Drosophila melanogaster: one gene and its partners. The protein of the gene in region 3 purifies or fractionates together with the protein of the main gene of each other region. This does not show direct contact. Each region holds a gene or a part of one and is shown on either strand. Other genes may lie near its edges. The genes, in order: ImpL2, Ilp5 and conv.

The links.
Region 1: the proteins of conv (region 3) and ImpL2 purify together in Drosophila melanogaster (affinity purification with western blotting, with the first as the bait; one study listed by BioGRID). This does not show direct contact.
Region 2: the proteins of conv (region 3) and Ilp5 purify together in Drosophila melanogaster (affinity purification with western blotting, with the first as the bait; one study listed by BioGRID). This does not show direct contact.

What each region holds. Positions count from the first base shown.
Region 1 is NT_037436.4:4,223,756-4,227,934, forward strand, and holds ImpL2 (Ecdysone-inducible gene L2), read right to left. Parts: upstream 2,196-4,179; 5' UTR 2,138-2,195; coding exon 2,129-2,137; intron 1,952-2,128; coding exon 1,172-1,951; intron 1,097-1,171; coding exon 1,082-1,096; 3' UTR 955-1,081; downstream 1-954. Other genes in the region: CG46460 (uncharacterized protein), read right to left, coding at 2,926-3,021. UniProt on the Drosophila melanogaster protein: Essential developmental role during embryogenesis, in particular the normal development of the nervous system. May be involved in some aspect of cell adhesion.
Region 2 is NT_037436.4:9,822,383-9,825,701, forward strand, and holds Ilp5 (Insulin-like peptide 5), read right to left. Parts: upstream 1,516-3,319; 5' UTR 1,492-1,515; coding exon 1,329-1,491; intron 1,258-1,328; coding exon 1,094-1,257; 3' UTR 967-1,093; downstream 1-966. Other genes in the region: CG43897 (uncharacterized protein), read left to right, coding at 2,164-2,258, 2,421-3,319.
Region 3 is NT_033778.4:14,268,618-14,276,348, reverse strand, and holds conv (convoluted), read right to left. Parts: upstream 5,621-7,731; 5' UTR 5,180-5,620; coding exon 5,079-5,179; intron 5,012-5,078; coding exon 4,851-5,011; intron 4,791-4,850; coding exon 4,621-4,790; intron 4,562-4,620; coding exon 3,959-4,561; intron 3,907-3,958; coding exon 3,040-3,906; intron 2,985-3,039; coding exon 2,890-2,984; intron 2,821-2,889; coding exon 1,933-2,820; intron 1,871-1,932; coding exon 1,477-1,870; 3' UTR 854-1,476; downstream 1-853. Other genes in the region: Sps1 (selenophosphate synthetase 1), read left to right, coding at 6,187-7,383.

The DNA of each region.
Region 1 (4,179 bases), on a different chromosome or scaffold from region 3:
ATTAGCCCCCGCTTTGGAGCCAACCTATCAATATCTATCTACACCAGCAATATATAGTATATCATCTGTGTACGTAAAGGTCCTCCGGATCGAGATCGTTATTTGTTGTTAAGATCGTATTGCAAAATATGGCAAAACTGTTTTACCCGTTCAATGTATGTACGTAACTGTACGAGTTTATGTAGATAATGTGACTATTCGTAGTTTGTAGATCCGTCAATAAAGTGATGAAAAGTGTATGTACTCGTAGCTGCTCGTTTTATTCACCCATTCAGCCCATTGAGTACTTTTGTTTCAATTTTCTTGTATTTATTCAAAAACAATCGCTTGAAGGTTGGATTAAAACTAACACTAAACAATTAGAAAAACATATTTCAGTTCTATTACCTTATAAATTAAAACATAGTCGGGTAGCTTATGAAACTGATTAATTCCGTGAATACTATTCAGTGATTCTGTATGGGTGGCGATGCTGAATGAATTTGGTCGATCAATAAATTAGTTGTAGAAATGATGGGTGCACATAAATACGAATTGGGTGGGTGATTGACTGATTGATTGGTTGATTGACTGTGGCTTGTGCCACGAGTCATAAGTGCTTCTTGGGCTGCAGTGCCCTTAAGTAAACGGCCAATTAGTTTAAATACGTTAACTAGTGCTGCCTGAATCGCTAGGAACAATCATTGCTACTTACAAAGAACCAAAGAAGCGTGATTACAAGCCGATAACTAAAGCTATAATTGAAGAAAACCATAAAGTAGGTGCTATAATTCGAATGCTCTAAATGTGACTGATATTCGAGGATAATAAGTGGGAAAATTAGTGTCTAAGCCGGCATTAGATACGGTTAATTACCTGGACTACGAGCTAGATTGTGCTTAATCTAAATTGTACATAATTGTAAATCGTATGACCTTTTGATCCATCATATTTTTTTTTGATTTTTTTTTTTTTGTATTTTTTCTAAGCATATTTCATTTCTTTTCACGCATCTTCGAAGGCATTTGATCTATCTAACTAACTAGATGAATTTCCGTCGTCAATCCAATAGCCTTTTGTTTTTTATTTGGTGGTAGGATCTTTAGTCTTCCTCATTCTGCAAGGACAAGAAAAATACGTAGGGATTACTTAGGATGAGTTGGTATAACCCGGCGGGTAGGGGAATACTTACAAGTACGGGATACACGAAGGTATCGGCGGTATCCTTTCCGACGACGTTGCGGGCTATGCACTTGTAGTTGCCCATATCCTCCCACTTGATCTCGGAGATCAGAAGATCGCCGTTGGCCAGCACCCTGTGGCGATGTCCTTGGACGATCTCCTTGTTCTCGTTATTCAACCAGGTGATCTCGGCGCGGGGACGGGCGTGCACGCGGCAGGGCAGCTGAATGTTGGAGCCCATGAGGTCCAGATGCGTCTTCTCGGTGTAGATGATTCGCGGTTTCTGGGCACCCGGGTAGGTCTTCTCCGGCGTCAGACGAGAGGAGCGAGGAGGATGCACCACAGTGCTGGCATAGATGGTCTTGGAGCCAGTGCGTCCCACACACGTGTAGGTGCGGGCCTCGCTCAGCACGTGGTCGATGATATGCGACGATCGGACGCGCACAATGGCACTGGGCGCCTCTTCGGCAACCTGGTTGGAGTCCAGATCATCGAGCTCCGAGCGGGGCAGGTGACCCACCACCCACTGGATGCTGGGCACTTGGGAGCCCATCATCTCGCAAACGATCTCGATGGTGGCTCCATCGGCCTGCTGCAGCTTCGTCGGCGGCGTCTTGGTGAACTTGAGCCAGTCGGCTTCGAAGGCTCGGTTGCGTGGCTTCTCCTCCTCCGCCTCGATGGAGTTATCCACGTCGTTGCTATCGTCTACCAGGTCCACGGCTCTTCCGCGGACAGTGGCGATGCTGCCGAACAGCAGCAGCGCTAAGGCGCACACATGTAAATTCATTTTCTGCAAGATCGATAGAGAGAGTGGAAATCGGAAGTGAGTTCAAAGTTCAACAGCGGCACTCGTACGACTCTAATATAGGTTATTAAACCCCAGAGCAACGTGATGCGATTAGCCCGACTTTTCAGCCAGTCATGCATCCCCCCACCACCCCACCACCCCACTTCCCCCACTCATCACCGCCTCCATTAATCAGGGGAGGTCTCCGAGTCTATTTCCCCGATAAGAACGCAAGGCCTTCAGTCGGCGGGCTCTAGAACATTACTAACACTTGCGAAATGTGCTAATGGCTCTCGGAGTCCGGAATTTAGATTCGGAATCCTTTTCCGGCCCCTAAGAGATGTGCTCGGTCCAAACGTAGATGAATGTATTTCACAATGACACGTCACCAGACAACAAGAATTGACAAAAGAAAATGATATAAGATTCTTGCGTGGGCCGAATCAGAGGCAGAAATCGAAAACGGAAAACGGAATGACTCGCGGAGTGTGACGTCAATTTAAATTCGAATTCTACAGCCCGATTCGGATTCACACACTCACCCACGCTTCAGCCGCAGATCAAGGGCCAATGTGTCCCCATAGTCTAGACTGGACAAACTGCGTGACCGATTAATTATTCAAATAGTTTCGAGGGTATTATGTATGTACATACGCTTGTATGTATGAATTAGTAGTAGCCCCACAAAAAGTCATTCGCCAATCGCTGGCGAATGTTGCATCAGACGGTCTTTGCCCTTCGACGGTGATTTTTGTATCTTTGGGCATTTCTACGAATTCGAATTTTGAAAAAAAAAAAACAAACGAAAAACGGAACACGAAACTGCGTTCGGCGGCAATCACCTATCTATTGTTAACGCACATTACTCACCCTTTGATTTGATTTCTTTTTTCTCTTCCGGTAAAAAATGTTTGCAAATTTCTCCCCAACGTTGGACGATGATAGATCAGGTAAAGCAGAAGCAGGTCGGCTTATCGTTATGTTATGAACGAATTTATCAGCTCTATGTTGTGATGGCTCCTGGTCTGGGCTTTCTGGTTGAAGTTGAGCAGCAGCTGGCTTAGCACTGACATAGGTCCGGCGCTGGATGCCGTCTTGGAGGTCGTGCAGCTCAGTGTTGGTGGAATCTTGGCTGCTTGCCGGTCTGTCTTGGGCGACGAGGATGGATCGTATTGAAACGTCTGGGTGCTGTGCTCGGGAGTGGCGCTTCAGGATCGGGATAAGGATCGAGTAATTGGGTAGCGGAAGCGTGTTAATCTCAGGCGGCGTAGCGAATATCTAGCTGACTACTTTGGCACATTCGATCCTCGTGGCGGTATCAGTGCTCCTTCGATGTGGACGTGGACTTGGTCTGGTACTTCTTGATGGTTGTCTGGTTGGCGCGGCACTCGTTTGAATACGCACGGTTCATCGACATTACACTCGAGTCAAGGTGTGTTGGTTTTTGGTTTTTGGGGGGGATTGCTGCTGCGAATGCGGTTCACGGCGAATTGAAAAGCGAGGATCGCGGATCGGCTTAGTTAACTTCGGATCAGTTGGCTTCGGCGGCTCTCAAAAGTCGTGTTCAACAGCTGGAAACTGTAACAGAACTGAATTGGTGGCCGCAGCGCTGTTCCATTTATATGCGACGCCGGCTCACTCACACACACACACAGACAACAGACACACACACACACACTCTCACTCACTCGCCGCTCTCTCTCTGCTCGTTCTCGGATCGTAATTCTTTATGCGACCGCCGCACCGGGAAGGTGCGGAACAAAACAGATATAACCGGACGGGGGGTTCGATTATCCGCCTCGGGATCTGTCTTTCCACCGCCTAATTGCGTCCGCAGTCCAGAGTTGGTGGTTTGGAAACTGAGGTGTCTCACAAGGATAGCTCAATGACTTTCCAGCCCATATACCATTTCATTTCGATCTTGACAATTAACATTGTCATCTTATGCAAGTTGTTGAGAACATACAACAGTGTTCGAGATCCTATGACTTTCTATCACATGTAAGTAAAATTAATTAACCCTACATATAAAGGTGCTTCACACTACTCTGTTAATATTCATGAATCATTTCGACGAAGTGCAAAGTATCAACCGTATATTATTCGTTTAGCTTACTGAATTAGCACTGTAGTTGTCAAAACCATTAATTAAAACTCCATGGTTTCGAATTCATTCGAACGAATTAATTTTGTAATCCATAACCAATCTCCCAATTAATAACCACCCATGG
Region 2 (3,319 bases), on a different chromosome or scaffold from region 3:
AAAAAAAAAAACAAAAATAACAACTAAAACAATGTCAACAAACAAGCGGCAGGCGTCTAGCCAAAAAAGTAGTGAGGCATCTCTTGACTTTCTGCCCATCGGTGAATCACAGTGAAATCGGAAAATTAACCAATCAAATTTCGAACAGAAAATAATTAAAACGCTGTGCTGTTAATTAAGCAAACGCCACTAAGTGGATATCTGGGCAAATATTTGAGCAAATCTCTATTAAAATTCAATGAATTGAATGTCTATCTATCTATCTATTTGTCTTTATTTTTGAGCCAAAATGGGCCTGCGGCGAATGAGGTTGTCACAATGTTTACACTTCCTTCAAATTAATCAACTAATTAAAGTTGAGGCCGACAGATGTGAGTGATTTTTTGCCAAATGTTCCCAGCTAAAAGGTCAATGTCGGATCTAATGAGGAATGGCTGACGTTCGTCTTAAATTGCCGAAAAAGCTTAAAGCTTGGCGATTATCTCTGGACTTTGTCGTCCATAAATTCTTTAAGGTCTTATCTCAGCAGGCACATTTTCTTAGCTTAAATATTTCTGTTTGTTATCTCGTTTTGTTGAGGCAAAACATTTCGTCCCAGATTAAGATGATGCGTTGAAAGCAAAACATTTCAAGCAAATTATAATTAAAGTTGAAAACTCTTTTTGCCAGCTTAAAGAAAATCGCCAGGCAAGCGAAAGGCATAGTTTTGTTTGTGTGCAAAATTTCCACCCAACTTGCTGCGATTTAAATCAAAATTTGATTTTCCTTCCGCTCAAAGGAGCATATTTTCGTATGGAAAAAAATAAACATTGTTATAATAGAATTTGGATATATCAAAGTGTGTTTAAAATTGTTCATATTGTTCTTTTGCTAACCATTTAGTGTATCTGTTCACTTTTAAAGGCTAAAATTATTATCGAAATATTTATAATATTTAATGTTTGAAGAAATTAAAAAGCGATGTTTCGAATTGCGCTTATTTATTGTAGTTTCAAGTTTCAAAGCCGTGCATATAGTTTATACTTAATACTTTTACGTAACATGTCTCATATATGTATGTATGTAAACTGATGGACCAGGTATCGCAGCATTTTTAGGAGTCGCAGTATGCCCTCAACGTGGAAAAGGAACACGATTTGCGGCAACAGGAGTCGACAACGCCGCGAAAATCGCGCCGAATGCTCGACAGTGAGTTCATGTGGTGAGATTCGGAGCTATCCAAATCCGCCAAGTGGTCCTCATAATCGAATAGGCCCACTGCAAGTAAAATAAGTGAGTTCGTGCCGTTTGGAAACCCCAAACCCCAAAAAAACGCAGCCGATACTCACAGGTGCCTCGTTTGGCGAACATTGAATTGAATCCATTGGGACAGGCAACCCTCAGCATGTCCATCAAGGCGGGGCCACAAGCCCGCAGCGAGTTTGCGGCCTGGGCGGATAGCAGGAGCGGGATCAGGAACAGGAGAACTGGGATCACGGAGCGGAACATCATTGCCTTGCTGGAACTGCTGCTGGATAGGATGTGGTGCAGTTTCCGCCGCTGTCAGCCATTTTTATATCCGCCGGCGCACTTTCACCTGTCAGATTGGATTAGTCTTTTGGGGTCAGCGTGGGCAGGAGCGTACTTGCTAATTTTCAATGTCAGGACATCGCAGGGTGCTATCATTAATTTATGCCCATGGATTAGCGTAACTTTCGCTTAATCGGATGCACCAAGGGGGTGGCGGAATCTATATATAATAGCTGAAATCAAAATGTATAACGATATATATGGTCTTTAGTTAGAAGGGCTTTCATTTTCAATATGTTTAATTGGCTTATCGTGCAAATAGTGCATACGATCATAAGTTTGTATTTCATGAAATATTTAAGTAATGTACTTATTGTATATCTAAGAAAGTAAAGTCGTATATTACATTTTTGCCTGTTCACATGTATAATTCTATAACATATACCAAAAGAACGCATGACAATCGAATACATGCCTGCGAGGAGAGCATATTTAAAAATAAATTTAAATTTGGCGCTAACTGCTTGCAAGCAGTCGAAGCAGTGCGCCAAACACACAAGCAGTATATACCGCGAAATTTAAAATTTTACCTCATACAATATACGATGTGCATTGATTCTTACTAATTGTATTGTATTTTTACGTTATTTTTAGGATTGAAGTCGACGATCAAATAACGAAGCCCCTGAACTTGGCCAACTCGGCCGTTCTGCGCGCCGTCGAAGAGGAAGAACAACAAGCCAAATGTGGTAAGATATACCTCTCTTTTTTGGATATTTGTCTATGCGCGTTTATTTTATGTTGCCTAGACAAAAAGAAACAGTGTAGAAACATACAACAAAACAGCAAACTCCAGTCCCAGTGCTCGTCCAATATTAGTGTTTTTTACAGATAAATTTAAATAAATTCAGGGGACTTCCCCCACAAAGATTTTTACCCCACTGAAAGGCAGAGTCGCCCGCGTCAACGAGGCGAGGTGGATGCACTGCATCACACGCTGCACCAGCAGCTTCTGAACCAGATCAAAACAGACTATCTCAGTCATCAGCAGGACATCACTATCGATCGGGACACGGTGCTGAAAATCAACCGTCTGGCCACCAAGAGGCATCTGCTCAAACGGGATCACAGCTGGCCTCCAGCTGAGCAGGATCAACCAACTATCAATCCCGAACAGAGCCATCAGATCTCCTGCAGCCCATCGCACAGTATTGAGGCTCTGAGGGAGAAGTTCCAGAGTCCCACCCTGGTTATCGAACCCACTGCCAATGAAGTGAGAGAGCAGCGACGACGCGATGGTGGCTCCAAAGAGAGATCAAAAACGCTCCAAAAGCACACCAAAGAACCTGACCTGGCGGAAGTTTTCCATCAAACTCCCATATCCAAGGGATTCTCCGCTCCAGAGACCAAGGCAGCCGATGTGGATTTGGGTTTGGTGGCTCCGCGATGTGAGTACTACGAGCAATTGGCCCACAAAAGGTCCGCCACACCAACTCTGCCCACTCAAATCACTCCATATAGGCCAAGATACAAGAGACAGGCTCATTCCCTGGATCGTAGCCGCTCCCGGAAACGTACAGTGGGTGCTCCGGAATTGCCGCCACCTAAGCCGAGAACTTCAAAGCCAAAAGTCCAACGGCGGTGCATAAAACTGGCCACTGAGGTAAAGATCTCATATGGCCACGACGGCGACAGCGAGGATGATCCCAATTCTGGTCAAGATGTGGATTTGGAGACCTTGCCGCTGCCACCGACACCGGTGTCGCCAGCTGCCGCAAATCTCAATCAAGCGAAGACAGCAGGGCGAATG
Region 3 (7,731 bases):
GCGCTGGCTCCTTTCGTTTAAATGTTTATCACAATGCTGCTTTCGCTGAATGCTGATTTATGCCATTCGCCACCGAGCAGCGCACTTAAACTTGCTATTTGAAATTTCTTCTTTATGTAACGAACGGAATAACGGCACACTCGCTGCTGCTGCTGCGACTGCTACTGCTGCTGCGACTGCTGCTGCTGCTGCGACACGAACGAACTCAGCGCGACAAGTGAAACTTGGCTTCCCGATTCGCATGCCACTGACGTGCGCCGTGGTAACAGAAACAGAAGCAGAAACGGCCGAGCCGAGCCCGCGAGATTCGCTGAAAATCGATAAGGACAGGCAAAGTCGCCTGCCAAAATCCTAAGGAGGAGGCGGCGGGGGCAGGAGGACCAGGATGGCAAAGGCGAACGGCACAAAAGCACATTCTTCTGCGGCCAAAGTGAAACCGAGAGCATGTGGGTGGCGCGCGGCAGTGAAAGTGCACATGTCCTTAGTGTCTCGTGTCCTGCGGCACAGTGGAGGTTCGGTCGAATTGATAGGTCCTTTGGATGCTCCTTCAATATCTCCTGGAAGCTATCGAATAAGGTAGGGTGTAATACACACATGTATTGATCAGAAATTACCTCAGTAATAAAATCCAAAAATTAAAAACAATCTTAATTGCTGTACCTTTACATTAAATTTGTGTTGTATATATTTAAGAAATAATAAAGCTTTAAAAACATTGCTAACGTATGTATATTTCCCCCCTGGTAATAAATTAAATATATTCAGAACAGGAAACTGTAGAGCCAAATAACAAAAACAATAGCATAATTCTAGGAGCATGCCGATACTGTAGCTGTGCAAACAATTTCGACCGCCAGTGTGCTACTCGCATGCCTTTTCGGTTGAGAGCGCGAGTGCGCATTTGCCAGGCTCTCAGGCGAGTCCTTTCACTCGCTCGCAGTCCTTTTGTCCGCTCCCGCTGCACAAACAGGAGCCGAGTCCGAGTTGAGAATGAATCGCCGCGCCGAAGAGCACTTCGGATTACAGCCTTTGTGTTTTCGCCCTGAATGAAAGTCAGCCAGCCTGGGCCATCAGCCATCAGCTGGCCCGTTGGGTTGGCTGTGGGCTCCAACGCTTTCTGAATTGCGCTGCCCACGCGAGGCGGCGTCCAAGTAAACAAATACATGTGCGCACGGCTGTGATAATAGGGCGTCGCGCACATGTTCAGCTGTAAGGTCAGAGCACAGCGTGTCCTTACAGTGAGCCATGGCCACAGCGACACACACTAGCAAACGGCCAACAATGGGATCAAAGATCAAGGACAATCTGATCTCTTTTCAAGATTCATTTTATCACATCGATACGAACTTAAAACGATTTTTACATACATAAAGTGCACAATTTGTAACTTGAAGACAATCAGTATTACAATCATTTTCGAGTATAGTTATCTACTTATTAAGAAAATAATCTTGGTGCACAGTTTTCCCATGCTAACTACAATCTGGCAACAAACAAAACGAGTATTATATACAAAAGGCAACGAGGTAGGCTGCTGGAGGTCCGGGAAACGCCACCGCGGACCTGAAAGTTTCCGAAGAAGAAAGTCCGGGGCCGCTTCAGCGAAGGTAGCTGCTGGCACTGCCCGGAGAACCACTTGCGCGTATTTCCATCGCTATCCCGGGATACTATACATATCTCAGCGCCTCGAAGTTTCTCTTCTCCCAGCGTCGATAGCTCTTCCACCGGGATTTGGGCAGTACGATTGTTATAGGCATAGTCCGACTGGTGAAGCACATCGTTGCTACTGCTTCGGATATAAACGTGGAAGTCTGAGACGTCTGAAAAGCCGGAGACATACCAGCATAGGGTCAACATGCCCGCTTTGTTGCTATTTGAAAAATGTACAAGGATTATAAGTTACTTTAAGTTCAAACTGCAAAATATGCATACGTTTTCACTTCTCGGAATCGGACATCTGTAAGCTGTTCATAGTCAATGCCCTTATACATCTCCTGCTCATCCTCGGCGCAGTGCAGATACTCATCGTCCAAAGATATAAGCTGCTTGTCCTTGATCAAAGCCGGCGTTCCGCAGTAAATACTCTTCAAATCCTCTCCAGCTATCGTTTGCTGCAGCATAAAGTATTTCAACGGTCGTGCATTGCATCCGCAGTGCAGAGGATTTCCGGCCAGAAGTACTTGGCTACCATTACGCATGCTGCCCACTATCGAAGCGGGCACATCCTCCAGACTATTGTTGGTAAGATCAACATATTTCAGGGATTTCACTTTCACCAGATTGGCGAACGGCAAGTGGTAGATTTTGTTGTGGGAAAGGTCCAACCAGCTCAGGTTTTGAGGCAGGTCAAAGATGTGCTCTTCAGACTTCAGATTAGATAGTTCATTATAAGACATATCCAAACTTTGAAGTGAAGTAAAATTAGAGATAACTCCTCTCCTTAGATCGTTGATCTGATTGTGAGATACATCCAACCGAACCAGCTTTTTGGTGCCGAATGTAATATCATAGGTCAGTATTGGCATCAAATTGTAGCTTAGGTTCAGGTTTCTTAGGTTGTACGGAATGTACTGATGAGAGGGAAAGGTTTTCTTGGTAACAAAACTTATACGATTGTGACTCAAATCTAAGGTTTCCAAACTGAGTAAATCATCCAGAACACCATTGGTTTTGTTGTCCAACTTGGTGAGAGAATTGAAGGACAGATCAAGGTTTCGCAGAGATGGTAGACCAACAAAGATGTCATTTTGCAGAGTCTGGATTCCGTTCGATGACAAATTTAAAGTGAGCAGCTGCAGCAGTCCCTCAAAAGCTCGCTTGCTACAAGTTATAAATGGGTTATTAGTCATATTATAAATAAAAAATGTACAGATTTTAGATAAATCTTACCTTATATCCTTAACTTGGTTACCATACAGATTTAACTCAAACAAGACGGGCAGCTTACCAAAGGCACTTCGTTCTAAGGTCGTAATATTGTTGTTCTAAATAAAAAGTTGGATGAGTTTGGAGGTTAGAATTCTCATAGCATTTGCTCACCTCCAAATGTAAGTACTGCAGTGTTGACATGACAGCCACCGCATCCTTTGGTGGCTGACTGATGCCATTGTTTTGCAGCTTCAGTCGTTGCACCACCAACAGACCTGTAAAACTCTCCCCGTTTAGAGTGTCTCCCAGCTGATTATGGCTTAGGTCCAAGTAGATCAGTGAGTTCATCACTGGCCAGGTGCCCGATGGTATATTAGTCAGCCTGTTATGGCTGAAGTACAGCTCATTTAGGGAAATAGGCAACTGGAAAAGTTTTTCCAATTGATTATTATTTAAATACAGCTGTCGCAAACTGGTCAACTTGGCCAGCGATCCTCGCACTACGGATACCAGTTCGTTATGACTCAGATCCATTTCCAAGAGGGTTGGCAAAGTGCCAAATGTCGACGACTTGATTTCCCTCATGCTATTATGGCTAAGATCAATTGAGCGTAGCGAGAATAGGGTTTGAAAAACTCCATTAAATATACTGGAGATGTTATTGTGCGAGACATCGATGGTGTGCAGTTCATAGAGCTTTGGAAAACAATTTTTGGGTATTTCGGTAATGCTATTGTACGAGGCATTCAAGACTTTCAAGCCAGTCATATTTTGAATGGGAATCTGTGCCAAATTGGTAAGATTGTTGTAGCTCAGCTGAAAATAGGTCGCGAAAGTGGTCTCATCGAAGCTGCGACGCGAAAAGTTGGCCAACCGATTGTGAGACAAGTCAAGAACCGTGATGTTTACACAATTTTCAAATGCAGCTGTTTCAATGAGTTCCAAAGCGTTATGCGATACGTTTATGATAGCCTGGTAAATATCCTTGAAAGAGTTCTTTTCAATCTTGGTTATGTTGTTCTCCGCCAAATCGAGCAACTGAAAAGCAGCAATTAGTTAAATTTTTCAAATTTTATATTAGCAATTGTACCTCCACATAGTTCATCTGGGTAAACATCTGGAACTCGATCTTCTTAAGACGGTTGCGTGCAAGATCAATAGTTCCAATGCGGGCAATTGAGCCGAAAGTACCACGACCAATATCCGTGAGCACATTATCGCTGAGGAAAAGACGACGGAGGAAACGCATACCCCTAAAACTATTCGCATCTAGGCGTGCAATCTGGTTGTGGGACAAATGGAGCACCTTCAACACAGAGTTTCTGGCAAAAGTTCCGCGACTAAGTTCGCTTAGGGCATTATGAGAAACGTTGCACCATCCCAGCTTTGTCAGATCAGCTATGTGCTGTGCCTCCAGCTTTTTGATCTGGTTGTGACTTATATCCAAGACCTCCAACTCTCTTAGATTCTTAAATTGGTTTCGTTTCAGATTCTCCAATTGATTTCCATGCAAGTCGAGCGTTTTTAGTTTCCGCAATGGCTGGAAAGTCTCAATAGGCAGATCACTTAGGTTACCATTGGTCACACGTATGATTCCCAGACTATTGGCGATCTCTTGGCCAGCAAATAGATCCTTGGGTAGCTGTTGGAACGCATGGCCATCGATTACGAGTTCCTTAGCTTTTCCTAGAATCTGAAAAAAGAATTTCCCGTTTAGATAACGATGGTATCGGTATATTGTTTAATTCTTACGCCGAATCCTAGTAAACCAACGTGGCTTAGATTTGTGCGAAGTAAATGCAGTTGCTCCAAAGTATTATTTACTCCATAGAAAACATAATCCTCAATGGTGGCCAATGGTGTTTCTTCTATGATCAGCATTCGTGCTTTGATATGAGCAAATAGTGGCCCATATAGACGAACTAGAAAGAGAATTTGATTCTTCAGCTTAACAGACTAAAAGGACGTGTAGAAGTACACACCGAAATGTCCTCTGTAGATGGTCAACTCCTCGATGGGCATACCAAAAGAGGCCAAATTCTGAAGGGCTACGGATAAGGTAGCCAAGTTTGTATTTTCGCACCGAATGTAGAGGCCATTATCGCTGCCCTTCACACATTCGCAGGGGTACAAGGCCTTTGATCTGATTTGAAAAAAAAACACCATATAAGTGAAGAAATATGTAATATACAATATTTGGAATAACTCACTTTTTTGGACACTTGAATTCGGGTTCGCCATACACATATTCCGAACTGGCTAGGGCAATGAAGTGCAGCAAAACGAGAGTGCGCAGGCGTAGCTGAATCATGTTTTAATGATTTCGTCACCGTTTTAATTTAGTTTATCCCATGGCCCAAAACCAAGTTCGCTGCTCAAGTCTTTTGTGTGGGCTTCGATTTCCTGAAACTTATAGTTCTTTGTTTAACGATGTTCCGCTTGAATGAGGTGGGTTTTTTTTTGGGATGTGGAGTAAAGTTAACTTGTCTTATCAACGAACAAAGGTAAATGGTTTCTTCTACTTTTACTTTTCGCTCTGCTGGCGCAACAGGTTTTCATGGGCCGCTCTTGTGCGCTCTTTGTGACCAGCACTTTGGAGCTCTAATTGAATTAATGCCAACTATATTAACTGCTCCCGAAAGTCAGAGCACTGTGAACCACAGTTTCCACTTCGGTTCCCCCATTTATTCCGCGGTTTTAACATATTTTTATTTATTTTACCCTTGGCGCACAATACAATCGATAGATTTCGGGCGAGTTGGCAGCCCCGTTGAACCATCGCTTCAGACAATCGGCATCCCAAATATCGAATCAGCCGCACACGCTAATACAACCCTGTTGTGACATCTCGCTCGTTGGAAAAGCAAAAACCAGGCGCAAAATAAATATAATTTGCTAACGTTACTCTACAATTATCTTTGTACAATCGCACAAGCAAACGTAAGTACCAAAAGACAAACGAACGCAACGAACCAAATGGCCAATTCAAAGCGCGCACTTTTTGGCATTTTGCAATTGAAATGAGTGGGCATTGTTCACGTTGCTCGCCTCGTCGACAGGGAGAAATACTGACTTCGCCCGTTTTAGCCGCCATCGCGACTGCAGCCAATCACGGGCCGCGCTACACACACGCGGCAGAAAATCCGTGTACATACACGTCTGAGCGCTGTGGTATTGGTGGCCGGGGAGAACGCGAGTTACTCGCTGCATAGAGTAGCCCACTATGTGTTTATTGCGCGGCAAAAGTGCGTTAATCGGTTAAAGCCGCTACTTACATTCTGTTCTTTGCATCTCCCCCATCCACAGCTATAAAGCAAGATGAGCTACGCCGCTGATGTGCTGAACTCGGCCCATTTGGAGCTCCATGGTGGTGGCGACGCCGAGTTGCGTCGTCCATTCGATCCCACGGCCCATGATTTGGATGCATCCTTCCGCCTTACACGCTTCGCAGATCTAAAGGGGCGCGGCTGCAAAGTGCCGCAGGATGTGCTCTCCAAGCTGGTGTCCGCCCTGCAGCAGGACTACTCTGCCCAGGACCAGGAACCGCAGTTTCTCAACGTGGCCATTCCCCGCATCGGTATTGGCCTGGACTGCTCCGTCATTCCGCTGCGACACGGCGGACTCTGCCTGGTGCAGACCACCGATTTCTTTTACCCCATTGTCGATGATCCCTACATGATGGGCAAAATTGCGTGCGCCAATGTGCTCAGCGATTTGTATGCCATGGGAGTCACAGATTGCGATAACATGCTGATGCTGTTGGCGGTCAGTACCAAGATGACAGAGAAGGAGCGTGACGTGGTCATTCCGCTGATAATGCGAGGCTTTAAGGACTCCGCTTTGGAGGCAGGCACCACTGTGACTGGAGGCCAGAGCGTGGTCAATCCGTGGTGCACCATTGGTGGGGTTGCCTCGACCATTTGCCAGCCAAATGAGTATATTGTGCCAGATAATGCCGTGGTAGGGGATGTACTGGTGCTAACCAAGCCACTGGGCACCCAAGTGGCCGTGAATGCCCACCAGTGGATTGACCAGCCGGAGCGCTGGAACCGCATTAAGCTGGTGGTGTCCGAAGAAGATGTACGCAAGGCCTACCACCGGGCGATGAACTCTATGGCTCGCCTCAACCGCGTAGCCGCTCGCCTCATGCACAAGTACAATGCCCACGGAGCCACCGATATTACTGGATTCGGACTACTAGGCCACGCTCAAACCCTGGCTGCACATCAGAAAAAGGATGTCTCCTTTGTTATCCACAATCTGCCGGTGATCGCCAAGATGGCTGCAGTGGCCAAAGCCTGCGGCAACATGTTCCAGCTGCTGCAGGGCCACTCGGCGGAGACCTCGGGAGGATTACTGATCTGCCTGCCGCGAGAGCAGGCCGCTGCTTATTGCAAGGACATCGAGAAGCAGGAGGGCTACCAGGCCTGGATCATCGGCATCGTTGAGAAGGGCAATAAGACCGCACGCATCATCGACAAGCCCCGCGTCATTGAGGTGCCCGCCAAGGACTAGGTCTCCATTGCCTGACCATCTGCTATTGTCTACCTTAAGTATCTTAATATTAACGTAACGGCTGCTACATTCAGTTGTAACCGGCATGATCGGTCTTTGTTTTTTATAAAAAAGCTTATCAACTACAGATTCACTGATCATTATAATCTTGGACGTCTCTACTGCAATACGAGTGAATAAAATGAAAACACTTGAATCTTTTGTATCGAGTAATTGGAATGCGGGGCATCTGAATGAGCTTTTTCCAGTCAACTTTGTTATTAAATTACAGCTCACAGTTTGGCAAAAAGTGGAGCATCTTCGGAATCGCATACATTTTGAACAGTTGTGTGTTGAGAATTTAATCGA